Linked DNA regions of Arabidopsis thaliana. The protein of the gene in region 1 purifies or fractionates together with the protein of each later gene. This does not show direct contact. Each region holds a gene or a part of one and is shown on either strand. Other genes may lie near its edges.

What was found.
Region 2: the proteins of PRXQ (region 1) and PSBQA fractionate together in Arabidopsis thaliana (co-fractionation; one large-scale study listed by BioGRID). This does not show direct contact.
Region 3: the proteins of PRXQ (region 1) and PSBQ-2 fractionate together in Arabidopsis thaliana (co-fractionation; one large-scale study listed by BioGRID). This does not show direct contact.

Annotation. Positions count from the first base shown.
Region 1 is NC_003074.8:9,522,641-9,526,966, forward strand, and holds PRXQ (Thioredoxin superfamily protein), read left to right. Parts: upstream 1-2,084; 5' UTR 2,085-2,166; coding exon 2,167-2,370; intron 2,371-2,824; exon of another isoform or gene 2,825-2,833; coding exon of another isoform or gene 2,834-2,848; coding exon 2,849-2,989; intron 2,990-3,081; coding exon 3,082-3,171; intron 3,172-3,264; coding exon 3,265-3,483; 3' UTR 3,484-3,767; downstream 3,768-4,326. Other genes in the region: AT3G26050 (TPX2 (targeting protein for Xklp2) protein family), read left to right, coding at 1-488, 567-628, 729-800, 951-1,053, 1,162-1,290, 1,371-1,601; AT3G26070 (Plastid-lipid associated protein PAP / fibrillin family protein), read left to right, coding at 4,264-4,326. UniProt on the Arabidopsis thaliana protein: Thiol-specific peroxidase that catalyzes the reduction of hydrogen peroxide and organic hydroperoxides to water and alcohols, respectively. Plays a role in cell protection against oxidative stress by detoxifying peroxides.
Region 2 is NC_003075.7:11,332,504-11,336,315, forward strand, and holds PSBQA (photosystem II subunit QA), read left to right. Parts: upstream 1-1,898; 5' UTR 1,899-1,942; coding exon 1,943-2,219; intron 2,220-2,588; coding exon 2,589-2,887; intron 2,888-2,985; coding exon 2,986-3,084; 3' UTR 3,085-3,270; downstream 3,271-3,812. Other genes in the region: ATK1 (kinesin 1), read right to left, coding at 1-43, 151-270, 368-477, 561-705, 808-1,029, 1,337-1,381. UniProt on the Arabidopsis thaliana protein: Required for photosystem II assembly/stability and photoautotrophic growth under low light conditions.
Region 3 is NC_003075.7:2,670,955-2,675,014, forward strand, and holds PSBQ-2 (photosystem II subunit Q-2), read right to left. Parts: upstream 2,290-4,060; 5' UTR 2,217-2,289; coding exon 1,919-2,216; intron 1,682-1,918; coding exon 1,386-1,681; intron 1,238-1,385; coding exon 1,139-1,237; 3' UTR 946-1,138; exon of another isoform or gene 830-945; intron 765-829; 3' UTR 569-764; downstream 1-568. UniProt on the Arabidopsis thaliana protein: Required for photosystem II assembly/stability and photoautotrophic growth under low light conditions.

The DNA.
Region 1 (4,326 bases):
CTCCTAGTTCTTCCGGATCGAAGGTCTCAAGCTCAAAACTGGAATCTTCCGTTGTTATAGAACTGGATCATTCACTTAAGAACACTAAAAAAGAGTCATCCTCGAGTAGTACAAGGTCACTTAGTGCATCGAAGAACCGAAGTAGATCACCTCCTGAGCCCATTCACATGTCAATCAGCTGTGTTTCTTCTAGTAATACCGAGAAAACTATTGTGGGGAGGCCCCAGAACGGTTCTAGGAGTGCAGTGAAAGCAGACAAGAAGAAGAGATCAGGTCCAAGTTCAGTTCACATGTCACTCAATTTTGCTTCTTCTACTCTTCGTACGACCAAAGAAGCCCCAAAAACACTGGCAAGAAACTCCACTACACAGGGAACAACTTCAACAAATGCTAGAAACAAACTTTTCCCAAAGATAAACGAACCAACGGGAGCTTTAAAAAGCTGCAAGAGACCATTGTCTCAGACATCCAAAGACGGTTCAACCAATGTAATTCTCTTCCCAAGTTTCTCTTCTTGCGTATATCCCAAGCATATTTGCTGAGACTGACTCTTACATATATTGCAGGCCTCTGCTGTCACGTTACCCAGACTTCCTCTTCTCAGTAATCTGCTATCAGAAAACAAAAGGTTACTGATCAAACCATCTTCAACACCAATTCATCGCTTTATACTATTACTTTATTATTAACTCAACCCTATAATTAACTTTGCTTCTTCTGATATACAGGAAAAACATATCTGTAAGGAGTTCAGTTTCATGTAGAATATCCAACAATGAGCAAAGAAAACCTTCTGTCGGGTAAGCGGTTTAAGTACCAACCTCTTAGAGAAATACTATCTTATGTCACTTACTGCAAATGGCCTGAGTTGGTTAATTGAAAGTGTTTGTGTTAGTTCCCTGATTTATGTGGACATAAGACGAGATGTTTTTGTCTAATGCATTTTGCAGCTGTGAAAATCTGTCAACTCATAGCAGAACCAAAGCAAAGTCTTTGACTGTATCTTCTCCCTTCGTCTTCAGAAGTGATGAAAGGGCAGAGAAGAGGAAAGAGGTAGAACTAAAGAAGATCCTTTTACTTTATCTTTGAGATTATTTGAGGACTTATAGAGCCGTAGTTTAAAAAAGATCTCTTTTGTTGTGGATGTGTCTTGTCTGTTAGTTCTTCAAGAAAGTAGAGGAAAAAAACAAGAAAGAGAAAGAGGATAAATTTTCTTGCGGCTTCAAGGCAAATCAAAACACTAACTTAGCATCTGAAGAACACAAGAACCCACAAGTTGGTGGTTTTCAGGTATATTCAACTCTCAGACTGTAACTTGTCATAAATTTGGGTATTGAATCTTTGATGTATGACATTATAATCATGTGCAGGTAACACCGATGACCCTGACTTCACCAAGATTCCGCAGGAACCAAACTCCAGGAAAAGAGAACATAAAAAAACCTCATCAAACTCCTCATAAAGCTTCCTCAATGAAGATCATCAACACCAAAAAAGTAGTCATGGAGAAGCACAAAAGCAGCAAGATCCATCCCTCCTCCAAACAGCAGACAACAAAAAGAACTCAAGAAAATATGTCTCCTAATATTCTTCAGAACTAACCAGAGACAAACCAGATCAATCGATTCCTCTTCTTCAAGTCTCTAGATCATCGTAAAGATTCGACTTTTCACTTTGAAGATTCCGAAAGTTTTGTCCCTTCAGCTAGTAATCTCATCTCAAGCTTATGGTTTAGGTGACTAGCCCTTGATTCAGATTGTGTAACCACAAGCTTTTAAGGAGCTGTGTAGAATAGATAGAACTCAAGTCTACTTACTCTTCAAAGTAACTATGTACTCAATAGTTCTGTAGTATCAATCTTGTATCATTTGTATACATAGAGATTTGAAATAAAGAATTATGTCTACTTTTCAATTTCTCATTGTGTTTCTTTCTTGAATTAGTATAGACAGGAACATGGCAAAGCTTTCTGTTTTACATTTGTTTTAAACGACGACGTTTTGGTATGATGTTGTGATGTTGTGTTGTTGTGGTGTGGGCCTCTCGTTTCAGAGGTGAGAGAAAAAATCTTATCTCTGTGGACTGTGATTGTGTGATGTTTCCATATCTTCAGCTTTTCTTCTACTACATGCTCTAATCACGTCCTTGTAGAGGAAAAGAAAAAAAATGGCTGCTTCATCTTCCTCTTTCACTCTCTGTAATCACACCACACTTCGTACTCTCCCTCTGAGAAAGACCCTTGTCACCAAAACCCAATTTTCAGTTCCCACAAAATCATCAGAATCTAACTTCTTTGGCTCCACACTCACTCACTCATCGTATATCTCCCCAGTCTCTTCCTCTTCTCTCAAAGGCTTAATCTTTGCCAAGGTACATTTCTCGACTCTTGCATTGATAGATTGTTTGCTACAGTTGGGTAACAACTAGTTCTGGGAATTAGCTTCTTTGTTAGACCAATGTTTTTTGGACAATCTAAGTTCTGTTCCATTTCTTTTTTATATGTTTTTGAGTATTACGATATAAATATTAGCAAGACAATAGATTGTTAGATACACAGCCATTTTTGAATAAGAAACAAAAGATGTAAATATTGGGTTTTAAGTCTGAATTTAAATGTTATAAGAACAGATTTATGAATGTGTTAGTGCAGAATCAAAGACAAAATCAAAGAAACTTGTAATCAGTGTTTGTTTTAGAGACCATAAACTTTCACATACCTGAAAATAAGCAAATGCTAGAATGTTCTTGAATATGTTCAATCCTTTATTCATATGATTTAAGCTGACACGGCATATGAACTCTCTTTAACCTTCTGTGAATTGGTCTCTTTGTGATGTTTGGTGGGCAGCAGGTTAACAAGGGTCAGGCTGCACCAGACTTCACACTAAAGGATCAAAACGGAAAGCCGGTGAGCCTCAAAAAGTATAAAGGGAAGCCTGTTGTTCTCTACTTCTACCCTGCAGATGAAACCCCTGGCTGCACCAAGCAGGTTGTTAAATCTTTACTTTCTCCTCCTTCCCGCATTCATTGATCGCATATTTAGTGTTTCTAAACGTAAATGGTTTTACTTGTGTACAACAGGCTTGTGCTTTCAGAGACTCTTATGAGAAATTCAAGAAAGCTGGTGCAGAGGTCATTGGCATTAGTGGAGATGACTCTGCTTCTCACAAGGTACACACATCAAAAATCTCTGGTTTCTTGAATAAACCCATTTCTTTTTTCCGGATTTTAAAGAGAGTGGTGGGACTTTAAACATTGTTGCAGGCGTTTGCAAGCAAATACAAACTACCGTATACATTGTTAAGCGACGAAGGGAATAAGGTGAGAAAAGATTGGGGAGTGCCTGGAGACCTGTTTGGAGCATTGCCAGGGAGACAGACTTACGTTCTTGACAAAAACGGTGTTGTTCAGCTCATCTACAACAACCAGTTCCAGCCTGAGAAACACATCGACGAGACCTTGAAGTTTCTCAAAGCTGCTTGATCATTCTCTCTTTCTCTTCTTTCTCTTCTTTCATGCATGTCTCATGTCTGTCTCCATGAGACCATGACCTTCTTATATTGTTTCTGTTGAGTATGAATTTTCAATAATACCATGTTATACCAATGAGAAGGGAGTTGGCTTTGGTCTAGTACAAAGATCACAACAGGATAAGTACTGAAGTGTGGTTAAAATGTTAGTTGGTTCTGTGTATTTGAGTCTCTCGTTTTCATTGTGAACACCTCTACTATCTCTTTCTCTTGTATCAATTAACACTTCAAGTAAGGTACACATATCAGGTAACTCTAGCTAGCCCTTGATTAAAATTGTCAAACACAAAGCTTTAAGGAATTGTGTAGAATACATAGAACTCAAGTCTTCACACAATAGTTTTAGTATGTGAACTCAAGTACTCAATAGTGTTGTGGTCTCAATCTAATATTTGAAATTTAAAACGGTTATTTTCGCATTGTGTTTCTTTCTTGATTTGAGTATAGACAGGAATAAAGGTAGAGCCTTTGGACTGTATGAAGAATATGGCAAAGCTCTGTTTTTTTACGCATTTGTATTAAATGACGTCGTATAAGTCGGAGCACCGAGGGCCTCTCGTTTCATGAGAGAAACAAAAAATCTTATCTTTCTGACAACGGTGGTGGTGTGTGATGTTGTCAGCCATGGCAAAGACAGAGCTACAACGATCTCTCTCTCTTTTCTTCTTCTTCTGTGTCTGTCTTTAAATAGAGTCTCTTTGAAACGAAGCAGCTTTGTCCTGTTCTGATATCCATGGCTTTACCTTCGTGCTTAAAGACTGGAGCTTTAATGTCTCCGGCCACTGGATTTAATTTT
Region 2 (3,812 bases), on another chromosome or scaffold:
TGTACTCTTGCAGCCTTTTGTACATATCCTCAAGTGACGTCACCTATAAACACAAAACAATTTCCATATTAACTAACAGATCATGTGGAACTAACACGAGAAACAGAAATGAAACACCTAAGAAAACACCAGAAGACATATGTTATATACCTTCTGCTTGGCAGCCATTTTCTCTTCCTTAACTTTATCAAGTTCTTCTCCGAGAGAAGCCTGCACTTTTTCAGCTGCAACTCTAGCTTCTTTTTCTCTTCTATGACATTCAATGGCGTCCTAGTGTTCAATAAGTAAGAGGAAAGCAAAGTCAAGTAATGAATTTCATTAAAAGAAAACATTCACAATTAGAAAAACCAGGCACCAAAACCCTTGCCTGTGTACTAGACTCCTCCTTTGCAAGCTTTTCATGTAGTGACACTACATTCTCTTCCAACTTTGAGATAGTGGCCTGTAGCTCTTCCTCTTTTGTCCTAGCCTCCAACTCTATAAGAGTCAAAAAGTTAGGGACTACCACCAAATGAGTGAATAACTTGTTTCATGTAAAAAAATCGCAAGAAGAAAATAACCTTTGTGGTTGTATTTTTGTTCTGAAGATTCCAAAGAAACCTTCAAATTTTCCTTCTCTTGGACATGGGTTTCATCAGCTTGTTGGAACCATTTTACACAAACCTTCAGCCTCTTGATAATATCCGTCATTTGCTCAATCTTAGCCTGCAGGGACAGAGACAAAAAAAAACTCCTTCTGAGTGAAACCATAAATGAAAACATCTACAATGCTTAGAGCACAGAGCAAGTGTAACTCAATCAATATACCTTAGTATCAAACTTTCCAGCTTTTGCTCTCTCACTGAGCAACGCCAATATTTCATCTTTTGTAAAGTCAACTTTACCACATTCTTCAATGCTCCCTACATCGCTGTTCATCGTGACATCTTGTTTATTCACAGCCGAAAAAGCTTGTCTTCTCCCAGTACCTCCTTGCGTTTCCACTTTCCTTCGCTTGTCAAATGAAATGCCACCGAGACCCTCCTTTTTCTGAAATTGAATCAAAAGCCACAGATTTTTCATCAGTTTCATAACAAAACCAATATCCAGCTACAAGAAATGTAGAATCCCAGAACCCACGACCACTCTAAATTCTATTGATAACACCCATCAGAGTAAGAAATGCAAAGCCGATGAAGATAACACCTTAATAAATTCATCTGGTAAGCTCACAAACAAAACCCAAAATGCGAAATTAATAATTCGACCAGTCCTAGGGTTTTTCTCAAACCCATCCTCCAGAACACTCAAAAGTGACGACGAAATGTAGTGGAAAAGCATGAAAAAGGGAGCTTACGGCGTTTGGACTGCGAGGAGGACGATTCTGGTTGCGAGAAGCCATCTCCGAGACTCAAAATTGCTACAAATTTCTTCTCCTTTCGCTCGTCAAGTGCATAAAAATCCCAAAATGGTAGTCTTCTCCCTAAATTCGGGTTACCGACAATAAAATCTCCGATTGATTCTCAAGATCTTAGAGAATCAAATCGAAAACCTTCTCAATCGAAGTCGAGAAACTAGGATTCTTACTTTTTCCTAATTTGGGGATTTTTGTGTGTGTGTAAGTGTGTGACTGAAGCAGGAGCCTGTAGTTTCGAAATTCGAACGATTTTGAAATTAGATGTGGCGGACTTCTGGAATTATCATAACGTTATCAATCAATAAAGTATTTAAACATATGGGCTAACTTTGGGCCTACAATTCGGCCCAAATGTTTAAATAATCTTGCCACGTGGCTTTAAGGCGGACAAAAATGACACGTGGTTTTATATGAGTGGCTACAACCATATCCAAGTTATCTAAAGTACAGATAAGGCGCTCTGTGTCGGAGAATGAAACCAACCAATCATATAAGCATAACCAATAATCATCGGCTTCAATTTTCGTCTTGAGAAAGAAAAACAAAATGGCTTCGATGGGTGGATTACACGGTGCATCTCCGGCGGTTCTTGAAGGAAGCTTAAAGATCAATGGCTCCAGCCGTCTGAATGGCTCTGGAAGAGTGGCGGTGGCTCAAAGGTCTAGACTTGTCGTCAGAGCTCAGCAGAGTGAGGAGACTTCTCGCCGGTCCGTGATTGGGCTTGTTGCTGCTGGTTTAGCTGGTGGCTCGTTTGTTCAGGCTGTCCTCGCCGATGCTATTTCGATCAAAGTTGGCCCTCCTCCAGCTCCTTCCGGTGGCCTTCGTAAGTTAACTAACAAACTAATCTTCCAATATGATATTCATTCTCATTGTTAATGAGATTAGGAATTTAAACGTGATTTAAGTTATGTAGATGAAAAAACCATAAAATGTAGTCTTTAAATGTGGATGTTTTTGTATAAGAATATAAGAGACTCCATAATAATCAAGCATGTGTATGAATGTTTCATTCGGATTTGGGTTAGAGTTCATAATAAGCAAGCAAACATGTGTTCGAGTTAGTTCTTATATCGATTTTTCTGGTATAAACACACTTAACTCGATCTCTATATGACATACGACGGTAGATATATAACACTTACACATTGTTTTATGTTTTATGAGGTGACAACAATTTGTTTTGTTTGGTGAGCAGCTGGGACAGATAACTCAGACCAAGCAAGAGACTTTGCATTGGCATTGAAAGACAGGTTTTACTTACAGCCATTGCCACCAACAGAAGCTGCAGCTAGAGCCAAAGAATCTGCAAAGGATATCATAAATGTGAAGCCATTGATCGACAGGAAAGCTTGGCCATATGTTCAAAACGATCTTCGTTCCAAGGCTTCTTATCTTCGTTATGATCTTAACACAATCATTTCCTCCAAACCCAAGGATGAGAAGAAGTCACTCAAGGATCTCACCACCAAGCTCTTCGATACCATCGACAATGTAAGTTTCTCATCTAACTTCGATCACCATCTATCAAGATTTTGTAATGTTTCTTGTTTGTCTGATCGAAAGTTTGTTTATGATTGATTCTCCGGCAGCTGGATTATGCGGCGAAGAAGAAGAGTCCTTCGCAGGCTGAGAAGTACTATGCTGAGACAGTCTCTGCTTTGAACGAAGTTCTTGCCAAGCTTGGTTAAGCATTTTAATTTCTGCATTTTTCTTGTAAATTATTATTCTTGGTTTTTGTTCTTGAGTACTTTAGACTCAAATTCGTGAATCTGAATTTATGTTTCACGTTTTCACCAAGTAATGGCAATTTCTTGAGTATGCGTTAGCTTTGTTTGCATGGTGATTTAGCAAACAACAACATAAAGTCTATTCGTACAGTTCTTAATTCAGTTTCATTTATAAATGACAACACCAAAGTATTAGGGTGAATTATAAAATGGATCAACTCTTTCATTGAAACTACAAAATAACGAATTGAATTTGAATAAAACATTTCTAGCTTTAATTTCACTATAGATTGTCCAATAGTATTAAATAACTCTGTTGAAAATCAAAATTGTACATTTTTAATCTAGTGTCTTACAAGTTACAACAAAACTTTCCATCTATTTCAGGGTTTAAGCTAACATTGTTTACTTTAGACAAACTAAATGGATCTATTCGTGGAAGCTCATTGGTTTATTTTAATACTTCTACACTATATTGAATTCCATTCTCATAAAATACGAATTATGAAAATTAAGTAAAAAATTATATTGGAGATCTCCACCATGGTGAAACAAGGTTCAAAACCGAATCAAAAAGAAAATAGACTAACCGAAAACAACCAATACTTAAACCAAGCTTGGTTTGATGTGGCAGCGATTTTACTTAAATTGGGCCTAAATACTCAAAGAGGCCCATGTTTATGTTTTGC
Region 3 (4,060 bases), on another chromosome or scaffold:
TTTGGATGTGACTTCCGTTTGATAGAATCTTTAAAAGCTAATTAAAGTTTCGGTCAACCATATGACGTTTAAACCTTAAGCACATACAAAAACTTCTTTGTTGACTTATAGGACATGACAATTAAACGACCATGGTCTAACCTCCTCCTTGTCATATCATGAAATTTGTTATATCATTATACCTAATTAAAATCTAAAGTTTAGATTATCTCGCGCGTGGAGTGGGAAGAACACTTAGAAAAAGTGAAGCGATTAACAAGAAGAAGAATAAAAACTTATAAAAGTGTTAATGGTTTAAGTGTCCTCGGCCTTTGACCTAATCACACGTATATTTTTTATTATCTTCACGATCTATGTTAAAATATATTGTTCACTATAGTATGATTAATTTATACATTTGATGTATGTATATGATGTATGTATGTATGTAAAGGATAATCAGTAGTGTGTACGTAATATAGACTAGAAGTGTATGATAAATATTAATTGAACTAAACTTTAAGAAAAATCTCTATGTTACCTATTCTATATCAATTAGAAAATGAAGCTAAATTAATTGCATATCTTACTTGAATATCATGTGTCTTAACATCGATTTTCTTTTACATTCCTGACATCAAGACCTCAAAAAGACAGAATCTCAAGCCCTCATTCTGATTCCTAAGATGACAAAGTAACTTTCACATACAAATATGTTGAGGGACTACTATCTGCATGAAACTGTGACAAATGCATGGTTGTTGTTGTTATCAATCCATTAATTTCTGTATAAAAGAAAATTTGATATTAATTTTAGTTAAAATTTCCAATCAAAACTCTTTGAAAAGTTGTGGTATGTCATCTAATTTATGATGGAACAAAGGTTAATTTGATCACGAAGTTGGTGTAAAACTGATAATGGGAATGATGAGGACGGGAATGCTCAGAATCAGAACATGAACTTACAAAGTGGTCAGCTCGAGGACGAATATATAATGTTTTGCTAAAGAGCCAGCCAATATATTGGTTAAAACTTGAAACTGAAATTAGAGATAACCGATTTGATCAGACAAGAAGAGAAGGAGAAAGACAAAGTACTTGGATAGCAGTAATTATAATAACATCGACATCAACAGATTACAACGCAAGTCTTTCTTCATTAACCGAGCTTGGCAAGAACATTGTTCAAACTCGAGACAGTTTCTGAGTAATACTTCTCAGCATCTGGGCTACTCTTTGATCTCGCCGCATAGTCCAACTTCCACATAAGAAAATCAACAAAACAACAATCTCAGATTAACCCAAACTTAGGAAGAATCTTGTGCATAAAAAAAATCAATGCACACTCTAACTTCTTTACCAAGAAACCGCTAGAAAACAAAACCCTAAAGAAAGAAAAAACTTACGTTGTCAATGGTTTGGAAAAGCTTTGCGGTGAGATCTTTAAGGCTTTGCTTCTCTTCCTTAGGCTTAGCGGAGATAACGGTGTTGAGATCGTAACGGAGGTACGATGCTCTTAAACGGAGATCGTTCTGAACATAGGGCCAAGCTTTTTTGTCGATAAATGACTTAACGTTGATGATCTCTTTAGCAGAATCTTTGGCTCTAGCTGCAGCTTCTGTTGGTGACAATGGTTGTATGTAAAATCTATCTTTCAATGCCAATGAAAAGTCTCTTGCTTGGTCTGAGTTATCTGTTCCAGCTGCTCACACACAAAAAAACAAAAACAAAAGCAGAACCATAATCAATCAAACAGAACCGGTCTCTATAATCTAATTACTAAAACTTTTATCTTACAAAAGTGATTAAAGATACGTTTGATAAAAACCTAAATTATAACCATGCAAGCTATAACACAATAATTTCGTTTTGTTATCTCCTTAACCAAAAAAATAGTATTAGTCATTATGTGAAATTTAATTAAATTAGTTTTACTTACGTAGGCCACCGGAAGGAAGTGGAGGACCACCAACTTTGATCGGAATAGCTTCGGCGAAAACAGCTTTAACGAATGAACCACCGGCTAAACCAGCCGCCACGAGTCCAATCACTGACCGGCGACTACTTTCTGGTACTGACACGTTCTGCTGAGCCCTGATCACAAGTCCGGTTCTCTGAGACCCAACCGAGACTCTTGAGATGTTCAAACGGTTTGAGCCGTTGATCTGTAAACTTCCTTCAAGGACAGCCTGAGATGCTCCACGTAAGCCAGCCATCGAAGTCACTGCTTGAGCCATTTTTTTTTTATCTGCTTTGAATAATTGATTAGTGAAGTGTTGAGTTATAATTTTTGGTGTTTGGTTATGTGACAAAGAATACCTTATCTGATTCACGTTGTTACTTAGATTACTCGGATATGGTTTTAACTACTAATATGTTGACACGTGGTTTCTTGATTCTCAGTTTTGCCACATAGGATTGAGATCGAGTGTTCCCAGAATGCGATTGTCACGTGGCTGAATGACGTGGAAATTGACCAATTCGGTTAAACCTAGTCAAAGTTAATTGAAAACCGGTTTCGATAATATCTAAGCAAATTGTAACTTAAATCCAATCCAACTTGACAAATAAATGAAATCCCTTATTGTTAAAAAAAAGTACAAATTGAAAAATAGATAATTTTGGCCTCAATTTCAATTTTGGATTTTGTACATAGCCATTAAGAATAATTTGGTCAATTCAATCTATTAAAGTTTATATGATCCACATTTTTAATTTCGGGTGGGTTAGGAATAATAGTCACTTATTCACGAATTCAAATACCTAATCATGTTTAGCATCCAAAGTAGACAATCTTAACCGTTCAACAATATTGGTATCACTACTTCATTTTGGTATCTAAATATGAGCATATTTCATTCCAAAAAGAATTATAATCACAAAAATAATAATAATAAAAAAACTTATAATCACAAAAAAAATTACACCGTTTTTACTATTTTACATTTTTGTTACTACTTTACTTATATTTAAATTACATACACACATTAAAACACATTATTTTAATCACTAAATAACAACTAACCAATAAAAATCTCAATCATTATTTATAAAAATTTAAAATAAAAGAAATATTTTATAAATTTATAATATAAATATAATCAAATACTTAATTAAAAACCATATAAGATTGACGACCTGAAAGAGGATGGATCAAATGCAACTTTGATGGCTCATTCGTTAATGGAGATGTAGAAAGTAAAGCAGGTTGGGTTGTTCGGGATAGTAATGGAAGTTATCTACTGGCGGGTCAGGCTATAGGAAGAAAGGTGGACAATGCTCTGGAGAGTGAAATTCAAGCGCTAATCATTTCAATGCAGCACTGTTGGAGTCATGGTTACAAACGGGTTTGCTTTGAAGGAGATAACAAGATGCTGTTTGACCTAATCAACGGATCCAAGGTACATTTTGGCGTTCACAACTGGATACGAGACGTTCATTGGTGGTCAAGGAAGTTTGAATCAATCCATTTCAATTGGATAAGAAGACATCACAATGTTCCAGCTGATATTCTTGCTAAAGCTCCTCTCCAAAACCAATCTTTATTCCTTAATCATTTTTGGGTTCCTAATGTAATAAGCTATGCTTTACATTGTGACTACACTGCTGATTTATAAATCAATAAGATGATGATGACAAAAAAAAAAAAAAAACATATAAAACCGAGGCCCGCTGTAAACCACGGGTTGAATCCTAGTTAAAGTAAGTAATAACTCTCCAAAATTATCCCAAAATCGAATATTAACTGCGAATCAAACTAAAAACAAGAATTTGAAACTTTTAAAACCCTTCATTTTATACAAAATAAAAGAAAAATAATTTTATAAAAAGATTTAACCATAAAATAGAAACCAATTTGATTAATATCTTACTTTTTTTTCTTTCCCATAATTTATTTAGCCAACAAAAAGTCACGCAAAATATGGAATATCACTAGTGTTAATGGACCGAGTTTTAAGTCAATTGGCTCAAATGGAGCCTATACTTTATATAATAATAATTTAAATATTAATGGACAAGAGTAACGTTACAATGTTGATGGGCCTGAAAGTTAAGTCAATTGGCCTGAGAGTAAGTATCT